Linked DNA regions of Elephas maximus indicus. The protein of the gene in region 1 purifies or fractionates together with the protein of each later gene. This does not show direct contact. Links are inferred from orthologs where the notes say so. Each region holds a gene or a part of one and is shown on either strand. Other genes may lie near its edges.

What was found. The genes of interacting proteins can lie anywhere in the genome.
Region 2: the proteins of SMARCD1 (region 1) and ACTL6A purify together in Homo sapiens (affinity purification with mass spectrometry; 8 studies listed by BioGRID and IntAct, with this or other methods). This does not show direct contact. The link is inferred for Elephas maximus indicus from reciprocal best matches to the Homo sapiens genes SMARCD1 and ACTL6A.

Annotation. Positions count from the first base shown.
Region 1 is NC_064822.1:105,498,103-105,506,188, forward strand, and holds the start of SMARCD1 (SWI/SNF-related matrix-associated actin-dependent regulator of chromatin subfamily D member 1), read left to right. Parts: upstream 1-5,067; 5' UTR 5,068-5,294; coding exon 5,295-5,471; intron 5,472-6,114; coding exon 6,115-6,302; intron 6,303-6,580; coding exon 6,581-6,623; intron 6,624-6,717; coding exon 6,718-6,840; intron 6,841-7,311; coding exon 7,312-7,434; intron 7,435-8,086. Other genes in the region: ASIC1 (acid-sensing ion channel 1), read left to right, coding at 235-388, 818-909, 1,749-1,828, 1,912-2,016, 2,180-2,284. UniProt on the Homo sapiens protein: Involved in transcriptional activation and repression of select genes by chromatin remodeling (alteration of DNA-nucleosome topology).
Region 2 is NC_064819.1:35,368,312-35,375,713, reverse strand, and holds the start of ACTL6A (actin-like protein 6A), read left to right. Parts: upstream 1-4,307; 5' UTR 4,308-4,507; coding exon 4,508-4,532; intron 4,533-4,561; exon of another isoform or gene 4,562-4,810; intron 4,811-7,402.

The DNA.
Region 1 (8,086 bases):
GGGCCCTCACCCCCACTCATCAGCACCTCAGGTGGTTGACCCTGCAGGGACTTGAAGGAATGAGATTTAGAATTAAGAAATACTCATGGGGAGGCTGGGAGAGGATCAGCAATGGGTGGCCACCCGGCTGAGGTGAAGGGCAGGAAAAGAGACGGGGGGCCTAGGGTTCCCTTGGGCAAGGTGCTGGGAGAAGACCACCACTCAACTGGCGCCTCCCACCTGGCTCGGGTGCAGATTTCCTGGTGGAAAAGGACCAGGAGTACTGCGTGTGCGAAATGCCCTGCAACCTGACCCGCTACGGCAAGGAGCTGTCCATGGTCAAGATCCCCAGCAAAGCTTCAGCCAAGTACCTGGCCAAAAAATTCAACAAGTCTGAGCAGTACATAGGGTAAGGGCTCTGACTGTGACCTTAAGCTGGGGACTATGAAGGGTATGAGGGGTCTGATGGGAGACAGGCAGGAGGAAGCTGAGATGACATGGGGAAGGCCCAAAGAGACTGGGGTGGGTATAGAGGGAAGATCAAGTCAGAATAAGCAGGAGGAAAGCCCCTTTCTCCCCACTCCCTGCTTGGTCTTCTATCTTCATCCTCACTGCTGTAAGTGTGATCAGTTCACACTTCCCAGTGCGCATAGTATCTTTTTGTACAGAACATATCCTTTAACCCTCAGCAACCCCACAAAGCAGGTAGCTCCATTAGCATCTCATTTTATAGATATGGAGACTTAGATTCTGAGAGGTTAACTTGCTAAGGTCACCCAATTAGTAAGGGACAGAGATATGACTTGAACCTAGGTCTCCTCCCCCAACCCCACTGCAGGGAGAACATCCTGGTGCTGGACATTTTCTTTGAAGTCCTCAACTATGAGACCATTGAGCAGAAGAAGGCCTATGAGATTGCAGGGCTCCTGGGTGAGCTACTGATGGCACCTGTTCCCTTCCAGTGCTACGGACATGGCCTGGCCCCTACCACCCAAAGCAGGGTGCTTACCTCTGTCACAGGAGGCTCCCCCACCCCTAGGGGCCTTTCCCCAAATCCTATTGTCTCAGTATGTGGTGAGAAGAGGAGGCTGACACTTCTCGTCCAAAAACCCACTGCTGTCAAGTCGATTCCAACTCATACTGACCTCATAGGGTTTCCAAGGCTGTAAATCTCAACAGAAGTAGACTGCCACATCTTTCTCCTGCAGGGAGGCTGGTAGTTTCCAACTGCCGACCTTTCAGTTAGCAGTCCATTGCTTTAACCACTGTGCCACCAGGGCTCCAAGGCTTCTTTTAGAGACAGGCCTATGTCCATGAGCGCCGGGCAAGGGGTGGATGTGGGACTATCGTACATATCCCTGAAAGTTGGCCCAGACACTGAGAGTGTTCGGTTATTTTGTAAACAATTGTTTTTCCTGAAATATTACCTGTTCTAGAAAAGTAGAAAAATGCAGAAAAGCATAAAAAAAAAAAAAAGAGTGCCATCGAGTCGATTCCGACCCATAGCGTATATAGGACAGAGTAGAACTGCCCCATAGAGTTTCCAAGGAGCGCCTGGTGGATTCCAACTGCCGACCCTTTGGTCAGCAGCCGTAGGACTTAACCATTATGGGAAGAAAAGAAAAATCCCTCTAGAATCTGGCTTTGCGCTCCTTCTGTACGAAGGCTACCAATCCCCTTGCGAATACGACCTGCCCACCCCTGTCCCAGTGAGCCCGGCTGGCCTCCAAAGTGTCCGGACCCCACTGACCTCCCCGCCGCTCCTGCAGGTGACATTGGGGGCCAGATGGGGCTGTTCATCGGCGCCAGCATCCTCACGGTGCTGGAGCTCTTTGACTACGCCTATGAGGTGAGCCGGCTGGGAGGCCCGGGGCCGGGGCCACGGGGGCGGGATTCCAGCCCACCCACCCCCACGCTGCACCCCCATTGCAGGTCATTAAGCACAAGCTGTGCCGACGAGGGAAGTGTCAGAAGGAAGCCAAAAGGAGTAGTGCCGATAAGGGCGTGGCCCTCAGCCTGGATGACGTCAAGAGACACGTGAGGGAGCAAGCGAGGGGCGCCCTCCCCACCGCCTTCCTCCCCCACCACCCCAGGACCAGCCACCCCGCCCTTGGCCTCTTCTCTCCTTTCCCTCCCCCACGCCCCAGAGCCCCCTGTGGCCCTTCCGATAACCAGTCCCTATCCTGTGCCCTTCCCCTAGAACCCGTGCGAGAGCCTCCGTGGCCATCCTGCTGGAATGACTTACGCTGCCAACATCCTACCTCACCATCCGGCCCGAGGCACGTTTGAAGACTTTACCTGCTGAGCCCTGCAGGCCACTGTACCAAAGGCCTAGATGGGGAGGGCTAGAAGAGCAACGGGGCCTGCTAGCCCCATCTGTCTTGGGGACTCACCCCCCACTCTAAGGGCAGCCCCCCATTCCTAGGCAGTCCTTTCTTCTTGTCTGTGGTGAGGAAGGAGTCTTGACCTTAGGGTCTTCTCCCTGCCTCTATTCCATTCTTTTAATTTTTAACAAAACTAATCTAAGAGACACTAAAAAGAGAGAAAGGGGCAAGGGACCTTAGGCTGCCCCTCTCTGCCCCATGCTGCCTCCCCCAGCTCCCAGCCTGAATTCTGTCTGTCTGGCTGTCTGTCATCTGAGTGTCCACCTACATTTGCTGCCACCAGTCACCAAAGTCCTCTCCCAGTGGGGGGTGGAGGGGATTCCCCCCGGGGTCTGTAGTTTTCCTGAAACCAGAGAATGTACCTTGAGGGGGAGGGCTAGTGGAAGGGAGCTTCCCCAGCCTTAAGCGACCCTCTCAGCCCAGTGACCTACCCAACCCCAAGTCTCTGGGCAGGATCTAAGACCCCAGTCCCATCCCCTCACACCATGTGGAGTCTTTAGGGGGCTGGGTGGGGGGATTCACTGAAGAAGTAGATATGGGGGCAAGGTGTGGCCCTGGTGCTGTAGGCCACATCCTGATACCTACAAGCTCACCCTCACCCCAGAGCTGTAGCTGCTGGAGAGAAATCCCAAGAGACAGCCTCCACTGTCCCATAAAAGACCCCGCTGGTTGGCTTCCAGCTCAGGGAGAGGAGCACTGGTGCCTGACCTCACTGGTCCGTCTCCCAGGGGCCCCTGCAGAGGGCCACATCCATAAATTTTCTTATGGAACTCCCCCAAGTCTGCTTCCCCAACTCCATTTGCTTCTCTCAACAACCTCATCTGCATTTTCTATTTCTATATGATACAGACTCTATATTGCTATATCTCTGTATATACTTCCCCCAACCTTGTCTGTCTCCACCCCATCCCCTCTTGTCTCTGAGAACCACCCGCCCCAAGATCCCCCTTGTGTGTCTCTGCCTCCTCCCTGGTCTCTGAATGCCTTCGCCTGTATAAAGAGTTGGACTCTCTCCCCTGGTGTCTGTACTGTGTACACACATCCCTCTGAGAAGCACAAGGAGACGACACGCGCATTGTAACCTTCGCACTGTCTTGGTGGCGACATAAAGGAAGCTGTGAATCACAAGCTCTGCCTCTTTCTGGCCTCACCCTCTCCCCCTATTCTGGGCACCCTCTGCCCTCCCTGCAGCCTTAACATTCCCGTCCCCTGCTCCATCCACCCCAATGCCCTTTGCCTGGCTGACTGCAGCCTCCCCAGGGAAGGGGTTGTAACAGAGATAGTCCTTACCCAGGAGATGAAGACTGCTCTGGAAATTAAGCCAAGAAGAACTTTTCCCAAGCTGGCAGCCTTTTTTCAGATACAAAAGGGAGCTGGGGATTGGTAACTCTCGCAACTGGGCAGCAGGGTGTAAACAGGCAGAAAGGAAGGTCCCCAGTCAGTGGCCTTTTCCTCCTTCTGGGTGCCCAACCCCTTTCTCTCTCTTCATACCCAAGCCTACCACTCATATTTTCTGGCGAGGTGGGCTTTGGTAGTAGGAGGAAAGAGACAGGCCTAGAGGGGGAGTTGAAAGCTTTGCTGTTCTGTTCCTCTCTCCTTAATGAGAGATGAGTGATGGAGAGGGCCTGCCTCCCTCACCCCCCACCCCCTGTCCCAGGCATTCCTCCCAGGCCAGAGTCCCAATCCCTTCCTAGGTGTTTTCTGCTCAACTGTCTCTGGGTCTCCAACCCCAGGACAGGATCTGTGGGCAGGTCACCTGTGCATTGGCCTGGAGTTGGTGAGTAAGGCTGTCGGATCTTTGGGAACTCTTTGTTTGTAGGAGTTGCTTAGAGACCAGACCTCCCCAAAGGGAAACAGTAGCAAGGCCAAGAAGTGTGCAGTGGATGGGGGAACAGCAGGCGGGACTCTGCGTGACGCATGCGTCTGGTCTAATAAACTGGGTTTCAACCATCTCCTCTTCAGTGTTGTTCTTCACTTATTTGAAAGGTAGTTAGGTCTTCCCATGAAGTGCTTAGCACTGGACCTTAGCTTGGGGCCAATCAGAATGAAGAGTAAGGAGAGGGTTTGATTGGGAGGTCCTGATGCTCTTGGGATGGGGCAGGCTGACCATCACGAGGGAATGGTTTGAACTAGTTTGAACTACAATACTGGGCAGGGAGAGAGGGAGGGGTCAAAAGCAACAAAGACCTCAAAGAGAAGCTCCACCACAAAGGATTCCTTGAAGAGCTGGATCAAAATTCAAGATACACTGGAATGTTAAATCTGGAACGAGTTAGGTTAAAGGTCAGGGACAAAGTTGGGCTGAAGTTCCAGTGTGAGGTGGTTATTAAGGCACTTTATTTTTTATCCGTGGAATGAACTACGGGCTAGGAGCCAAGAGATCTGGATCCTAGGAATGACTCTGCTGTAACTTGCTGGTTGACCTTTGCCAAGTCATTTACCCTCTTTGAGCTCAATTTTCCCGTTTGCAAAATGGAATAAACAGTGCGTTCCTCTCCTCAGCCCCCCAGAGTTATAGCGGTAAGGGAATGAAACGGAAGATAATCAAAGCGCTTTGGAAAGTTAAAAGTACTGCGCCAAAATGAAGCATTTACTCCGCCACCCTCTTCAGAGGCTTAGGGCAGGGTCTGTGAGTGCCCTCTCCAGGTCTTTCTCTTCCTCCGGTCGGCCTGGGGGCGCCCTCTCTCAGGGCCTCTCTAGCCTAGAGTTCGTCTCTATGGTTTTCGACCCTGGACCATGAAGGCGGGAGGGAGTGGTCAGCGCAGCCTTTTCCGCTGGTCCCCCCCACTCTAGCCCACAGTCTTGCTGCCCTAAGCCTCCCGAGCCGGCCGGCTGGCCGGGCTGACAGGCGGGCGCTCGGGGGGCGCGCAAGGGGCGGGGGGAGTTCCGGTTCCGGTTCTTTGTGCAGCTGCTGCGGCGGCTCCAGAGAAGATGGCGGCCCGGGCGGGTTTCCAGTCGGTGGCCCCGAGCGGCGGCGCCGGAGCCTCAGGAGGGGCGGGCGCGGCGGCCACCCTGGGCCCGGGTGGGACTCCGGGGCCCCCAGTGCGAATGGGCCCGGCGCCGGGTCAAGGGCTGTACCGCTCCCCGATGCCCGGAGCGGCCTATCCGGTGAGTGGGGCAGGAGGAGGGGCGCGCGGGCCGGGGGCGGGGCCGAGCGGGGGCCTGGGAGTGACAAGGGTGCGGGGAGAAGTAGGAGGGACTCTCCTGGAAAGATTCAGGCCCGGGGTGGGGATGGGGGTGGGGAAGGCAGTTGGGAGGAAAGTAGGGGGAGCAGTTAGCATCCCCACCTGCTGCTAGGGGCATTGTTTCCGTAGGAAGTAAGGTTATAGGATCAGCGTGGATGAAGTGGGGCCACTAGGGGTGGGCATTTGAGGTCTGGAGTGCAGAGAGGCTGGAGCAGCTCCAGTGCCCAGAGGAAGACAGAAGGTAGAGCTGGTAAATTGGGGTCAGCGTTTACGGAAATAATAGCTGGCAGAGTCAGTGTGGGACTAGAGATGTTTGATCTGTCAGATCCAAAATAGATTGGGGAGAATTTTAGTATAAGTTGGCTGTATTCTGTGGAACCATGATTGGAGTGGAGGAAACCTAAGTTGCCCATATTTCAAAGAGTCAGAGGGCTCTCGCCTCATTTTCCTCCACCCCACACCCCAGTCCTGTTTTGTTCAAAGAACTCAGGCACGCCGAACTTTCCCTTTCCGGATGAAGTTAGCAAGGAAGGCCGTGACATCTCTGGGTCTTCTCCCCTCCATAGAGACCAGGTATGCTGCCAGGCAGCCGAATGACACCTCAGGGACCTTCCATGGGACCTCCTGGCTATGGGGGGAACCCTTCAGTCCGACCTGGCCTGGCCCAGTCAGGGATGGATCAGTCCCGCAAGAGACCTGCGCCTCAGCAGATCCAGCAGGTCCAGCAACAGGCAGTCCAAAATCGAAACCACAAGTAAGATGACCCTGGGGCAGAGGGAGGGAGGGAAGAGGTCTGTGAGGACACAGGTGGGAGTACTGTGAACCAAGAAGTGGTGGTGCTGTGTCAGCAGCCTGGTGCGTGCTGGGGAACTCATTCTGAGAATGCCTCATGCTGCTTGGAGGCAAGGGGGTTCTTTGACTTGAGAGAAGCTTTGCAGCCCCTCCACTTTATATAAATGGAGATGCTGACAGCTTGTTTTCATGTTCTGACTAGTGCCATCCCAACCTCATAACAGTATTTATTCCATACAGTGCAAAGAAAAAGAAGATGGCTGACAAAATTCTACCTCAAAGGGTGAGTCCAGGCTGTAGATCTCCCTGAGAGTGTAGTGAGTTTGAGAATAGAGATGGTCAGCTCTAGATGCCAATTATATCTTTCTGTTCCTAAGATTCGTGAACTGGTACCAGAATCTCAGGCCTATATGGATCTCTTGGCTTTTGAAAGGAAGCTGGATCAGACTATCATGAGGAAACGGCTAGATATCCAGGAGGCCTTGAAACGTCCCATCAAGGTAATGCAGGAGAGCGCTAGGCAGAGAGCTGAAGGAAAGGACTCGGGAACCTTCAGCAGGCTTAGCATGAGAAATTAAAGGCGCAGCACAGCTCTCCTTGGCATTTAAATTGCATCTCTCCCTTCCGCCTACAAACTGAGAATTACATTAGGAGCATAAGAACAGAACAGCGAGGGGGAGGAACTTTTCATGTCCCTAGCACCAGAAATACATCCTGTCCATGTTTTTGTTACAACTGCTTTGCTGCCTTTGGGATCTGGCACCCTGCATGACTTTATCCCAGTGTATGCACTCAACGCTCAGATCAGTGGCCTGTACTCCCCTTCTCGGTGGACTCTCCATTCACCCACCCCAGGGACTGGATAGACAGTAAGCCAGATGTTAGGAGTAATTTTGGGGTTTGGGGAGACCCTAGCCTTCAGCATCAGACCACTGAAGCCCCGCCATCAATCCTGTTTCTGCCTTCCTCAGCAAAAACGGAAGCTGCGAATTTTCATTTCTAACACTTTCAATCCGGCTAAGTCAGATGCCGAGGATGGGGAAGGGACGGTGGCTTCCTGGGAGCTTCGGGTAGAAGGACGGCTCCTGGAGGATGTGAGTTCAAGGTCAATGGTGGTCGGTGTCTAGGGTGGGAGCTGTGGGGAACAAGCAGTGTTGTCTGGTCAGCAGGAAGCCTGACCGGTGCTTACAATTCCTGTTGGGAGCAGCAGGGAGAGGGGAACTCTGTTCCCTGCACTGGAAGACAATGGTTCTTTGTGTCTGGCTCCCACAGCTTTGGCCCTCACTGTGGTAGCATATCGAGAACCATATTGTCCTAGGATCTGATTTGTTGTTTACGTTCTTCCTGGTGCTGCTGGCCATTGGATTTATCAGTATCTGCAGAATACTTTAGTTTTTTTTTAATTTATTTTTAATCAAGTGAGTCTGCAGTTGGCATTTGAAGCCATGATTTCCTCTCTTGAGTCGTTGAGGTCCTTGATTCCTATTGAGGCATCTCCCTTTTTCCCAGCTTTTATTGGAGACACCTCGCTGTTAAAGTGAGATAGATTTCTCTGGCAGGCTCTTGTCATTTCATAAGGAGCATCAGCTGACAGGTGGTAGCCCCCAAACTTCCCACTCTAGCGGCTCCTTGGGGAAGCTCACCTTTCTCTCATTCCCTTATACTTTGTAGCTCTCTATTTTTAGATTTTCACAGGCAAGCTTATTTGAATGCATGTTTGTAGGAGAACCAGGGCTTGGTATCAGA
Region 2 (7,402 bases), on another chromosome or scaffold:
AGGTGGTTAGCAGATTTCTTACAATTTTAATGGCAAACAGATGTGTGAATCTGACTGATCGTATTTCTATTGTTGAAAAACCCTAAATTCCAGGTATTCATTCTCTGTTATGTAGTGTCTACATGAGTGTTATATTTTTAGAACTTCAGTAAACAGAGGATGGTGCTTACAATGGCTTTTTGTACATGTGTTTTATATCCAGACAGAAGTGTCCACATTGAAATTTGCTTTTCATAAATGCTAGTGTCATATATAAAATTATGTTATGAAATAACATAATTTTAAGTGTACCTGAATGTTTGTGTCATTTCCTTTAGGACCTGTCTTAACAGATGGATGCTAATGTTCTGAATTTGTATCCTAGATTGCATTAATAACAGTTTTTTTCAACTCTAAACTTAATAAAGGCTGAGACAAAGGACAAGAGCAGTCTTTTTGCAATAACTGCTGTGATTCTATAACCTGAGGACTGGGGAGCCAGTGACAAAAGGAGTAAAGCTGTAGCATCCCAAGTGTCCAGATGCAGCATTACAAGAATGGAAGACCAGTGCCTCCATGAGGCAAAACCAAGTGCTGTCCCTCAGTACATGGAAGACAGTCTGGATGCTTGGATTTTCTAAAGGAGTTTTGAAAGTGCACATGTTTTTGTAGATTTGGATTCAGAGTCAACCACTGAGCATCTACTGTGGGCTAGGTAAGTTAACACACATGCTATTTCAATCTCTTTTGGGTTTAGGTTGACATAACTAATAAGCATTGACTATTTTGATATGTTATGCCCGTGAAATGGAAGTGACAGATAGTAACCTTGAGTAGCATCTATTGTTGTTGTTTTTAAATTTGACTAGCTGTCTGTAGGAGTTCCTGGGTGGTGCAAAGTGAAAGGTTGGAGGTTCGAGTCCACCCCGAGGCACCTTGGAAGAAAAGCCTGGCGATCTACTTCAGAAAAATCAGGCATTGAAAAGCCTGTGGAGCACAGTTCTATTCTGACACACGTGAGGCTTCCTTGAGTTGGGGGGGGGGGGAAACTATCTGTAACATAATGTAGCAGAGTTTACATTAGAGAAAACATACTAGGGTACCCACTCAAATGCACTGCCATTGAGTGATCCCCATAGTGACCCCATGGGGTTTCCAAGACTGTAAATCTCTATGGAAGAGATGTCTTTCTCCCAAGCAGTGGGCTGGAGGTTTCGAACGCCCACCTTTTTGTTATTAATTGCTTTAACACTGTGCTACCAGAGCGCCTTGTGTTAGGCTACAGAGGAGAAATATTAATGCAGGAAAAAAAAGCCTCAGGTATTTCACGTTTGGTAAAGTAGATTCTGCTGGGTTAATACTTTTAATGTATTTTCTACTAATTTTTCTAATTATGAGAATGGAAGAAAACAAGCTGCTATTGCAAAAGTTTCCCCAGCATTGACAATGGTATAACAGCTTGTTTAGCCTGCTGAATGAGTGTCCTTTCTTTTTTTTTTTAATAATTTTTATTGTGCTTTAAGTGAAAGTTTACAAATCAAGTTAGTCTCTCACACAAAAACTTATATACACCTTGCTACATACTCCCAATTACTCTCCCCCTAATGATACAGCCCACTTCCTCCCTCCACTCTCTCTTTTCATATCCGTTTCGCCAGCTTCTAACCCCCTCTACCCTCTCATCTCCCCTCCAGGCAGGAGATACCAACATAGTCCCAAGTGTCCACCTGATCCAAGAAGCTCAATGAGTGTCCTTTCTTAACAGTCACCTGTATCTGCATTAACATGTGATGAGCACTGACACATCAGATGTACCATGAAGAAGTTCATTTCATTTGAAGCTCATTTCAATGGTTAATAAACACAATGAGTTCAGTGATACATCAAGAAAACAGGCTGACCTGAAATTATGAATGGTCTGCTTTCTAATATTTCTCCAAATTACCAAAGAGGGCAAAATCCTTCCTTTAAAATCAAACACATCCAAGCATGACTTAGCAGTCTTCTCTCTAGCTCTCTTCTTGGTACTATCATATCTGAGATTCCCCCTGCCCCCCGCACTGCAGTGTGAAGATGGTGGGAGAAGACAGTCTGAGCATCCCAGGCTTCTCCTCTGCTGCACAAATAAGGTAGGTATCTTATTTCTAGAATATATTCTTTTCCATGCACGGGAGACGATGGAGATAATATTAATAAGAGCAGTATGTATAATCCATTTAAGTTGGTGTGTGTGTGTGTGTGTTAGCTGAGACTCCATGTATAATAGAATAAAATGTTGCCCAGGACCATACCATCTTCATGATTGTTGGCCTGTTTGAGTCCATTGATTCTGCCACTCTATCAGTCCATCTTACTGAGGATTTCCCATGCCTTTGCTGGCTCTCAACTTTACAAACATGATATCCTTCTCCGGTGACTGGACCTAGTATGACGCATTCAAAGTAAGCAAGTTGAAGTCTCAGACAATGTTCTTGATTGATAGAGTTTTTCATTATGAATTACTATGCATTCAAATGCTAAATTGATTAAATGCATTACTAATTTAAAAAACTTACAAATAGTATCTCTTCAATATTTAACTATTAAAGATCAAAGTATCACAATATTTTATAAATCATCAGCTTTATTAGCCAAACACATCATAAAAACAGAGTGGAAGTAGAAGCATTTTGGGGATTTGAGATGCCCCTACAGTGAGCTACAATCATGGGGACCACAGTTAACACAGCGTACCTCGGTGCACCCTCCATTACATGTGTTATCTGCAGGGTTGGCAAACTTCTCCTGAAAAGGGTCTGAGAAAGTATTTTAGGATTAGTGGACCACACTGTCTCTGTTACAACTAGTCAACTCTGCTTTTATGGAGTGAAAGCAGCTATAAGTGAACGAGCTTGTATGTGTTTCACTAAAACGTAGTTTATGGTCACCAAAATTTAAATTTTCACATCATGAAATACTATGCTTAAAAATTTTTTTTGTTGTTTTTTGGTAAACTCTTAAAAATGTAATAACCATTCTTAGCTCTAGTAATAGGTCATACAAAAACAGATGACAGGCTGGGTTTGGCCTTCAGGCGACAGTTAGCAAACCCCTGCATTACCTCATTGGGTTAAATGATGGGTTAAATAATCAGATGTGATGTGAGATAGTCCTATTGTCAAATGAATGGGAGTTTTCTCACTAGCCCTGTTCAGCACCCCAATTCTCATCTCTTTCCCACTCTGCTGGCTCTGAGATTGATGGGGGCTTTATTCAATCGATCCTAAAGAGTAGCGGCTATCTGTCCAAACTCTAGATATACTAACTTAAGAACTGATATTAACCGCAAGGATATGCAACACCGTTAAGTGTCCGAGTTGGACTGGCATGGCCAGATTTTGTAAAGATTAAGCGTCCTGTAGTGTGGTGAAAAGGCAGAGTAACAAGTTGTTGGAGTAATCCAGGGAAGAAGCCACTGTGATCTGGACTGGACCAGACGGGTGGAAACAGGGGACTATGAACAGTCTGGAGATAGATTTAGGATTAGGATTAGGATAGATTTAGGATTAGGTGGTTGCTGGGATGAGGGTTGATTGAAACCTATCTCACAGGATTAAAAATAAAGGATGACAGTATAAAGTGCTACCTAAATTTACTTGTTATGTCTTTCTCCTTTAAATTATTAGCAACCATTTAAAAAATTCCAGGATCCTTTCAGTTCGTTTGATTTACTGATTCCTTGTACCCTAAATATTTTAATTTTTTCAACATAAAAGTTAGTGAAAACTACTTTTTCTAAAAGAAAAAATATTCCTCATTCATCACATTCCAAAGCCAGGAATCACTGCATGAAAACACTTTGAATTTCTAGACTCTACTTCCAGTGGTTGGAGCCCTGGTGGCGCAGTGGTTTAGAGCTCAGCTCCCAAAGGAAAGGTCGACAGTTCGAATCCACCCGCCGGTCCTTGGAAACCCAACGGTAGTTCTGCTCAGTCCATAGGGTCGCTATGGGTCGGAATCGACTCCACGACAACCGGTTTGGTTTTTTTTTTATTTTACGGGTGGTTTGCCTTCCTTTACCCGGTTCCCGTCGCTCCCCGCAGCCCAGCCACACCCCCGGACCCGCCCCCGACACTGCCGTCCAGCCTTCCTCCTCATCCTCCTGCGCCACCACACTCTCCCCGCCCACCCCGGTAAGCCCCGCCCTTCCAGTTCCGCAGCCCAACTCATTCTCTCTTTGCGTCGCTCCCTCCCCTCCCACTCCCCATGGCTGCCTTCGATTGGCTAAACTAGCTGAGCCGCGGCAGGGAAGCAGCATAGGTTCATTCTGAATGGCCAGAGCGTAGCCTGGGCCGCTCGTGTTTGGCTGGCAGGAGGGGCCAGCAAGTGTGGCTGTGCTCCAGGGTGTGCGGACGCTGCTTTGTTGCCTGAGGGGCGTGGCGTTGGAAGTTGAGGGGGTCGGCGTAACGCGTCGTGGGACCTGCAGTTGCAGCCGCTGCGGTTCCTTGGCCGGGTGTCTTGTGGCGTAGGCGTCGCGCCAGAAGCAACCATGAGCGGTGGTGTGTACGGGGGAGGTGAGTGAGTGCGGCCAGAAGGGAGCGCGGCTCCTGGAGTGTGGGGTCCGTGACTGCCGTCCGCATCCCTCCTCGTCGGCCCTTTCGGGTTTCCCACTCGGGACCGGCTCCCCGCCCCATCCCCGCCCTGCGCTCTGCCCGCCCCAGACCCCCGGGCTCGGTGAGCGCCTCGGGCTCGGGCCCTTCCGCGGCCCCTGGAGGGCGCTCGGGCTCGGGCTGCGCAGGAGCTCCGCTCGGGGCCGCCGTTTTCCGGAGTCTCCACAGCCGGCCGCGTCGGGGTGCGTGTGAGCTCGGGCTTGGGAGGTCCGGCAGTTCGCTAGCGTGGAGCCTGAATCGCAGAGCGCGCCGCGACGGGCGGAAGGGCTTGGAGGCGCGGCGGCCGCTCGGGACCAGCCCTCCGTCCGCGATGCCTCCCGCCTTCAGTAGCTCCCGGCGCTTTGTTGACTGGAGTCCCTGACTGGGACCCCTGACTGGGGGCCCTGACTGGAGTCCCCAGAGTTCCTCGTGGGCGGGTTTGTTTGGGATTACTTGCGGAACACGTGTGATTGAAGGGTGTCGCAGAGAGCTTGCCGCCATCCCGCGTGCCTTTTGGTTTGTTTCTGTGGGTAGGCTGTGGTGTGGGGGAAGATCACAGCGGGCCTGGGACCGACACAGACCTGCGCGGTAATATCATCCGCCCCATTTGTTCGGCCCTTGGGGCGAGTCACCTCTCCACTTGAGGCTCCTCCTTTATGGAATGAGAACGATCATACTTACCTGAGGGGGTGGTCGTGAAGGTAAACTGAGATAATGCGTATCCATATTACTCAGTGAGGTTCATGGACCAGCAGTATAAGCATCACGTGGGAGCTTTGTAGAAATGCAGAATCTTAGGCCTTCCTCTAAATCTACTGAATCAGATCCTGTATTTTTGTAAGATTCCCGGGTGATTTGAAGCACTGATGTATATGGTTCACATTTTGCATTGTGTTTGATGAGTTAGAGAACAAGGAGACAAATCCAAAGTATGGGCATTGTTACTGTTTCTAGTAGGGATTTCTTTTCTGAAGATGGCATTTTTTGGGTAGGGGGTAAACAAAAACAAAGCTTCAAAGTTCTTAGTTTTTGGAGTGTAGTTTCAGAGTCTCTTCTGAGGTAGTATAGGGACCCTTGCCCCCTCTCTCCCTTTTTGTTTATGTCCTTGGTTTTCATTTCTGAATGTAAGAGTCAGTAGTTTCCCACTATTATTTTGGAGAGGTCCTAGAGGATCTTCATGATTTACGTCTTCCCAGTCTAAAGGTGCAATCCTGACAGAAAAACAGCGTCTATGTGCCCTGTGCCTCGTGGAGGCTGTTGATGTTATTACGACTTTAGGTTCACTGATCCAAGAAGTATTTCCTGACAGGGTGTCTCAGCTATCTATTGCTCCTATAACAGAAATACCACAAGTGGGTGACTTTAACAGAAATTTATTTTCTCACAGTTTAGAAGACTAGAAGTCTGAATTCAGGGCACCGGCTCTAGGGGAAGGTTTTCTTTCTGTTGACTCTGGGGGAACGTCCTTGTCATCAGTCTTCCCCTGGTCTAGGAGCTTCTCAGCACAGGAACCCGGGGTCCAAAGGACCCCTTCCTCTCCTGGTGTGAGGTCCATCTCCTCTCTGCTTGATTCTCTCTTTTATATCTCAAAAGAGATTGACTCAAGATATAACCTAATCCTGTAGATTGAGTCCTGCCTCATTAACATAACTGCCTCTAATCCCGTCTCATCAGAAATGAAATGGAACACATAATGGTTGATGTCCTAGGCGTTGTTAGTGAGTTGAAATGGACTGGTATTGGCCATTTTGAATAGGACGATCGTATGGCTGACTATGCCAGTAACAACAACTTGAAGAGGAATGGTGTCAAATTCATCATCAAAAAGAACATTTCAAGATATATCCTGAATTAAACCCTACCAGTCGTAGGATAATATCCATTCGCCTACAAGAAAGGCCAGTTAATACGACTATTATTCAAATTTATGCACCAACCACTAATGCCAAAGGTGAATAAATTGAAGATTTTTACCAACTTCTGCAGTCTGAAATTGATCAAACGTGCAATCAAGATGCCTTGATAATTACTGGTGATTGGAATGCAAAAGTTGGAAATGAAGAAGGATTGGTAGTTAGAATATACGGCCTTGGTGGTGGAAGTGATGCCGGAGATCATGTGATAGAATTTTGAAAGACCACTGACTTTTTCATTGCATGTACCAATTTTCAGCAACATAAATGGCAGCTATACACGTGGACCTCGCCAGATGGAATATATAGGAATCAGATCGACTGTATCTGTAGAAAGAGACAATGGAGAAGCTCAATATCATCAGTCAGAACAAGGCCAGGAACCGACTGTGGAACAGAACATCAGTTGCTCATATGCAAGTTCAACTTGAAGCAAGTTAAAGAAAATTAAAACAAATCCATGAGAGCCAAAGTATGACCTTGAGTATATCCCAGCTGAATTTAGAGATCATCTCAAGAATAGATTTGATGCATTGAACGCTGATGACCAAAGACCAGACATCAAGAACATCATACATGAGGAAAACAAAAGGTCATTAAAAAGACTGAAAAGAGAAAGACCAAAATGAATGTCAGAAGAGACTCTGAAACTTGCTCTTGAACGTGGAGTAGCTAAAGCAAATGAAAGAGATGATGAAGAAAGTGAGCTGAACAGAAGATTTTAAAGGGTGGCTGGAGAAGACAAAGTATTTTAATAAAGTGTGCAAAGATCTGGAGTTAGAAAGCCAAAAGGGAGGAACACGCTTGTCCTTTCTCAAGCCAAAAGTACTGAAGAAGAAATTCAGGACTCGAGTTACAGTATTGAGGCATTCTATAGTTGCA